2 linked regions of the Solanum lycopersicum genome follow. The protein of the gene in region 1 interacts with the protein of each later gene in a pairwise test. Links are inferred from orthologs where the notes say so. Each region holds a gene or a part of one and is shown on either strand. Other genes may lie near its edges.

The links.
Region 2: the proteins of protein LSD1 (region 1) and GSH-induced LITAF domain protein interact in binary tests that used the Arabidopsis thaliana proteins (3 or more experiments, as listed by UniProt). The link is inferred for Solanum lycopersicum from reciprocal best matches to the Arabidopsis thaliana genes LSD1 and GILP.

What each region holds. Positions count from the first base shown.
Region 1 is NC_090801.1:55,752,010-55,755,097, reverse strand, and holds the end of protein LSD1, read right to left. Parts: intron 2,891-3,088; coding exon 2,778-2,890; intron 1,460-2,777; coding exon 1,382-1,459; intron 1,289-1,381; coding exon 1,217-1,288; intron 1,111-1,216; coding exon 1,072-1,110; 3' UTR 729-1,071; downstream 1-728.
Region 2 is NC_090800.1:4,585,303-4,589,804, reverse strand, and holds the start of GSH-induced LITAF domain protein, read right to left. Parts: upstream 2,981-4,502; 5' UTR 2,769-2,980; coding exon 2,521-2,768; intron 1-2,520. UniProt on the Arabidopsis thaliana protein: Acts as a membrane anchor, bringing other regulators of programmed cell death (PCD) to the plasma membrane. Negatively regulates hypersensitive cell death.

The sequences.
Region 1 (3,088 bases):
GCTAGATAGGGACTAGGGGTTCATCCGTGCCTCGTTTAATGAAAAGTTAATACTATTTATATATAGTTAAAATTATCTTTTATATATATGTAGTAAACGTTAAAACCCCTAATAATTCTTTGCGTGTTTACTTTTTCATATTGAATCTGCTTGATAAAAATTCTGACTCACCCACCGAATATACTTGTAAGGTGATTATGAAAGTAAATTTTTTTTCAAAATAAAGTTACTCTTGGACCTTGTGAGAAGTGTTGTACCATATTACTTTTGTTGTTGAACAAAATCATGCTATTATATATATATATATTGAGTTGTATAAACAAGTTTTCAACTTAAAGAAGATACCAAAGGGCAAAGTAGTTGGGAATAAAAGGAAGACATATAGGGAGGAGGAAGAAGGAATTTAAAAAAAGAAAAATTACTACTACCCCCGCCCCCTCCTTTTCGTTCTCGTATTTTAACCAGAGACTACTTTCGAGGGGCAGAGGCAAATAAGGAAATGAGATTTCTTGCCCTCTTACAATTATGATTTTATACGAAGTGAGATTTCTCTTGAAGAAAACCATATCATATTCATAACAATTGGAGACAAATTCCAGACAAGTCTGCAGGTGCCATTACACACATGCACAAGGGAAAAGATGCATACATCTAATAAAAACCGCACTCATTCAAAGCTCACTAACTCTAGTCTCTAGATCCTGAATTCGCCTCTCAAAAGCAAGGTGTTTAGGCAGTAAGGTTCACGGTATACAGTCATATACAATAATATGGCATATAAGGTACATAATAACATTCTTCACTTATGACTTTGGGCATAGCACGCCACAAATCTAACGCGTAGTTATCAATTACAGACTCCAAATAGTCACAACACTAGTAGTAGTAGCTTCAATCACCCCACAATCATAATATCAAAATGTTAACAAAAGAAAAACAGGGGTATGGTTGTAGTATTAACACTAAACACTACCATATTTATATGCAGCGGCTGTCTTTATTCTCCTCTTTCCAATTGTTGCGAGCAAAACTCTCAATTGTTGTCCACGAACAGCAAGTTTAGCAGACGAGCTATGATGTTGTTGTTACACCAACAACTACATTACTCACCTAGAAATGTAAAATGGTATCGTTAATGATAAGGTGGATAACTTGAGAGTGAAGAAGCCAAAAGATATAAATGAAAGGAGGTTAATCATGTTGGAAACAAACTTACCAACTTGCCACTCTCATCGACAGACATTGGGTTTTGGACGACAACAGTTTGATTTTGTGAACGAGCCTTGGCCTAAAGCAGATATGAACATATTTCAGAAATCAATTTAGTCAATTTAGAACCTAGTAAGTAAGAAAAGAACATGCGGCAGACTTATGAACTCACAGTTGAAGAGGATCCTGAAGCAGTAGTAGCAGTGCCGTTAGGAGGGTTCAAAGGTGCATGGGCTCTTCCATCTCCTGCCTGCAAAAAAATACATATAAACACATGAAAACTGAAATTCCTTATCATATTCATGTACGCATGTTGTCTAGTCTCTCTTATCAATATTATTATTATTACTCTCCTACTATCTTATTCTTCAATTCTACTAGTACCTGTTGTTTCCTTCTTTTAGTTATCATATTATTTGTTTCTTTTCTCCATTATTTTCTACATGGCTTCTTCACTACTGCATTTCCTTTTCTTACTGATTTCGATATGCTTTACTTGAGTCAAGGTCTATCAAAAACAACTTCTCTACCTTCGGAATGTAAGGGTAAGGCTGTGTATACACTAACCAGATTCCACTTATGGGATTACACTGAGCATATTCTTGTTGTATTCCGATACATACGCAAATAACATAAGCAATGGACTAGTAACCAAAAGACCTTATTTTGCTTCCTCACTCACCCACTTACCCCTTCTTTTTCCACAATCTGTGATATCAATAACTTCTAAAATTTGCAACTAAAAGTTCAAAATAAGTTTGTATTTAAGTGGGCTGATGATGCTGATATCAAAAGCTCAAGATAAACTTACCTTCCAACATAAGCCTTCTCCGTTAAACTTTCATAAGGATTAAACCACTCTTAACACTTTGCTTTATGTGAAAGTCCTCGAAATGTGCTGACGATTTTCAATTTAATTTACTTGCTTTACAATCCATGATATGAAGCAAGGCTAATCGCTATAATCTACTGATTCCTATAGGTTCAGACTATTAAGTGGAGAAGGAAGAACCAGAGAAGAGCAGCTTAAACAGAGACAAACCCAACAATTCTCCATGAGTAACAATGACTCGGGAATTGGCTATTTTGAAGCATCAACAACAACATGTTCACTGTGCTAATTATTCCCTTCTTATCTTCTTCAATTCCGATCATTCTAATATCATAAATCTTACTATTTACATAAAAGGCTCAACATTGTCATTTTGATTGATTTGCATCACCCTTGAGCAACAAAATAAAAAAACTTACCCGCACTGGTGTTTACACCAACCAATGCATGCAAGACAAGTCTTTCATACACTCATTTTATCACTTATTTACAGTCAAGTTGATATATATTCTCACTTTAAATTGTAATTAAACTAAGACAATATGGTAGTTGGCTATTCTCTGATCCTAACAAAGTAAGTAAATATTATATTACGCACAAAATAGAATTCTCATTACCAAAAGCACAATCTTAAAATTCATTCCTCTTTGTTATTTTACTTCTTTAACTATATGGACCAAGCATCAGCTAAAATTTTTACCAAAGATCAAAAAGAAAAATGAATCATCATACTCACATTAACATTGGTAATATAATGGCATACTGCACATTTAACCGATGGAGCTCCACATGGATACATCAGCATCATACGGCAGTTCCCGCAGTAGACATGAGCAAACTGGTTTGGACCTGAAGATCGACAGCACAATTATATGTCATCCAGGTAACAAGAAACCTAAGCTCTATCGAATGTACAAATCCTCAAACACAAACAATTCATGTAGCTCTTTACCCTATTAAATTCTAGTGAAAGATAGAACATGCAAATGATTCAGGTATAGTCCCCTTAAAATTCAATGAGTTACTATCTCATCTTAAACATCTGTC
Region 2 (4,502 bases), on another chromosome or scaffold:
CTCGAAATAGGCCATAGTAAGAAAGCCCGTCAATTCAAAGCTGATGGAAGTTAAAACAGGCGAGTATACATAAACTCTAGATAGACCTCTACAGGAGAAGTCGGAAGCAAAGTTGTTTGTTGCAACAAAACATCGCTTATGCCACGAAGACAATTTTTTTATTAGTTACTGCAAAGAGAAGTTAAGAACATAAATATGGATCTAGAAGGCACATATTGCTAATGCTGAATTACAGGTTGCTTCAACATTCACAAAATAGAGAAGTTGGGAATTGCATATACAAGTTCAATTGCTGCTAGAGTGCCATAAAGTTTTTGCTGCCAGTGGTATGCAAGCCAACTCAGCTGAATCAACCATGAGCTGCAACATGATATTCAAACATATGCGCAGCACAGCATACACATTTTATATATAGATGTATGAATGTATGTATGTGGATCTCTAATCTATCTCTGCTCCTTGCACATTAAACTTGGTCAGTTACAAAGTCAACGAAAAAATTCATGCTAAGCATGTGTTACACTGTCATATGGATAGTCTACCTTTTGTAATTTGTAAGTTTGGTCTTCTACCTATTGGATGTGATGGACTTCAGCCATGAAATTTTCCTACATGGGCCTGTCACTATAATGTGAAACCACTGGGATTGGAAAATGGAAATCAGATTTCTTTTTACCCTAACAGGCACTTATGTACTCTTAGAATTGCTATTATGGTAGAGAAACTTTTTGAGAAAGGTAAGTCAACTCTAGTAGGCCATTAACAGAGGAGAACAGCAATGTCTCTGTCTAAGGCGTAATTTGTAAACGCAGTGAAAATCACACGTCTCGGTAAGTATTGCTATTGCGGCAGTCTGTTTCTTAAACATCCTTTTTTTTTCCTTTTCCTTTTCCTTTCAATAATGTGGTGTTCTGTTACCGCACCTGGACTATTTCACTGTGTACTTGCTACCTCCACCAACAAAGATACACGAGTTACTCTGCCCACCAAGGTCTTTAGCATCTTTAGGACCACAAGAAACCCTTTTTGGATATCCCCATTAGCCAATGAAAGAATCTAGAGAAGAATGTTCACGTTTTTCTTCGGAAGCTAAGAAGAAGGGGGTTGACTGCTTACTATTTGTTCTCGACTATGGAAGAATTTCAAAATCTCTTAATTATGTTTAACATCGAAGTTCTTGTTTAAGTAGCTGTCAAAAGAATCAGTGGTACAATTAACTCAGGAATAAACTAGACCATTAACAAAGTTCAGGAATGAATTCTCATGCTCATACTTCAGTATACTATTTACTTAGATATACACATCTCATATGAAAGGACATAATAAAGCCTTGTCACCAACAATATCTGCATAAACATGGTCTAACAGTAGTCACATGAAGTGCAAAAGTAATACTAATAAATATAAGTTACAAGAGATGAAGATAGACCCCTGACGTAATACTGAAGTCTCACACTTGTTACCTCTTATCAACGAAGGTGGGATAGGGACTGCGTTTGCTTAAGGATCCAGAAGGAAAGGAGAAAAAGCTGCACTGTTTAGTTACAAACTATAATCCAGATATCAGTTATAGAATGAAACGTGATTGTAAGTTTTCCATGGTTCCACCAAGATTTATCTACACAGAATGTTTTTGCATGCCCCATTAACCCAATATGTATAAAACTATTCCACCCTGCATTAGTTAAAGGTAGCAGGTGTGCAAAAGGGGTATTCTCCTCCAAACTTCTTCCATATCTTTCTTATCCAACTAAACTGCGATGCAGTTAGAGGACCAGAGAAACAGATACCTGTTTATCTATTTAACTTTTCCTTCTTTTTTTCTAGGTTTGGGAGATTTAACTTTTTGCTGACCCAAGTATACTAACTACTGATACAATACCTTAAAATACTAAAATACACATAAAGTAACAATGAAACCCTACAATCATCATCTATACCTAGCAATACTTTGATTTTGCTTCAATAACATGCCGAGCCAGTTCTATACTACCAATGGCAGAACAACAATATAGAGTAACAAAGAACCAAAGCTGCAAATTGCAATTATCCCAAAAAAAAAAAAAGGTTTAACCATTCGACTTTCATTTAGAATACTGATAAATTCGCTGATAAAGGTAAGGTGAATTAGCTTTCAGTGAGAATTCATCACCAAAAAATCATATCATGAATAGAACAACAAAGTTGCACACACATTGCAGACAAACAAAAGAAAACTTCCACTTTGTAATATAGATCAATCAAGGCAAAATTAATACATCAAACGAAACGTTACAAACACAAGTATACTAACTACTGATACAATATCTTAAAATACTAAAATACGCATAACGTAACAACGAAACCCTACAATCATCATCTAAAACTAGCAATACTTTGATTTCGCTTCAATAACATGCCGAATAAGTTCTAGACTACAGAACAACAACAACAATAAAGAGTAACAGGGAACCAAAGCTGCAAATTACAATTATCCTCCCAAAAAAGGGTTTAAAGAGGTTAAAAAGGGAGAAGAATTACTTGACTTGGGTGAGACCGGTGTTGCCACAGTGAAGGCAATTGAAAGGAGCAGGTGTATCTCTGTAAATAGTTTGTTGAATCGGAATTCCTTTAGGATCTCCATAAATGGCGTTTGGTGGAACCATACCTGCTTGATAAGGATTTTGACCTACATAGTATTGCTGCTGAAATTGCTGCGGCATCGGAGCCTGGTACGGCGCCGACGGGTTGTAAGGAATTCCGATCGCCGGCTCTTCGAACTTCGCCATCTCCGGTGATCAAATTGATGTTGATTATTACTATGTGATAAAAATAAATAAAATTCAGAATTATTTATTTTGCACACTACGCGTTTGTAGAATTGTTGTAGCGTTTATAGGGGGGCAAATTAATTAATTTGGTTTCTTAAAAAAAAAAATTGACTAATAAATCGCCGTGTATTTATCGTTTAACTTTGACGTTATCTATAACGAAGGAAACTAGGAATGGATCATTATTCGTTTATTATATTAAAAATAATTATTTAATATTATTTGTTTTATTTAATAAATTGAAGAGATAATTTTTTTTGTATTGGTAAAACCTTGCTATTAAATATCACGCTTTTTATTTATTTTTATTTGTCATATTATATTTTTCGAAAATTAATTTAATTAATTTTTAAAATTAAATTATATTAAATTAATTCGATACGTTAAATATTCAAAAAGTACTATAACTAGCAATTTTTGCAATATGATAAAAACACATCATAAAATGTTAATCAAAAAAACATTTTAGTTTGACTCTCGAAAAAAAATCAAGACAAATAAAATGGACGGAAATAATATTCAACATCTACTACAGTTTCCAAATTGTTAAATTCAATACATTCAAAGGGTGATTTGGTAATATTACTTTTATTATTTATTATTTTTTAAAAATTATGGAAAGTCAATACTGAAATGTTCCATTCTATTTTGATCGCTCCATTTAAATGGTCTCCTTGTGCATTTTGTAATTGCATGAATAATTAATTAATTAATTTGGTTTCTAGAAAAAAATTGATTTTGGAATTGATGTGTAATCAATGAATTAATTATTATTGAAAAGAAAAAAATAACAAAGGACTTTTCGTAACGAAATGAGCATTTAGAACAAATTAATCATTTTTATTGTACAGTAAAAACAATTTTTGAATAATAAAATTCTCTACTTGTATTCAAGCTAAAATACAGAAAAATCACAACACAGTGACTTTTATTTGAAAATTCCTATAGTTTGAACATATAGTTAAAAAAAAAAAACTAAAAAAATAATATGACTTTGACTCGTTTATAATTCAAATTCTAAAAAAATAATTCATGGTGTTTGAATTTTTATCAACTTATTTTTAGGTAAAAATATCAATCAAGAAATTACGTCCACAATTTCTTTTAGCAGGTAGCCAGCTACTATACATGAAATTACTCATTATTTTCAAAGGTGTCAACAATAAAGGCATAACACATAAAAATGATTTTTGATTTGATTTTAATGGATAATTATATCCTTCAATTCTGAGTGTGCATAAGTAGACACTTAAATTTATATAAAATTGAACAAGTAGATACATGTGTTCTACATGAAATAATGCATGTAGGACGCCACGTATGGCACAAAATTGTCATGTACAGTGCCATGTAGGACGAATCTGTCTATTTATTTAATTTTATACAAATTTAAATATCTACTTGTTCACATCAAAAGTTAATAAATCATAATTGTTATCTGACGCCAAATTGAGGATCATTTTTATGCATTGTGTTACCAATAAAATTGCACCTACAATATAAACTTAGTTTGCTTACTAGAACCTTTTTTCGTATTTTAACTAGAATTTCTTAAAATAGAAGAAAATATATGTTTTGACTTTCACCTACAATACCTAGTTTAAAATAAAAGAAAAAATATTTGAATTTCACCTACAACTAATAAAAAAATAAATTTAAAAATATATGATTTTGGTCGGTGAAAATAAGGAT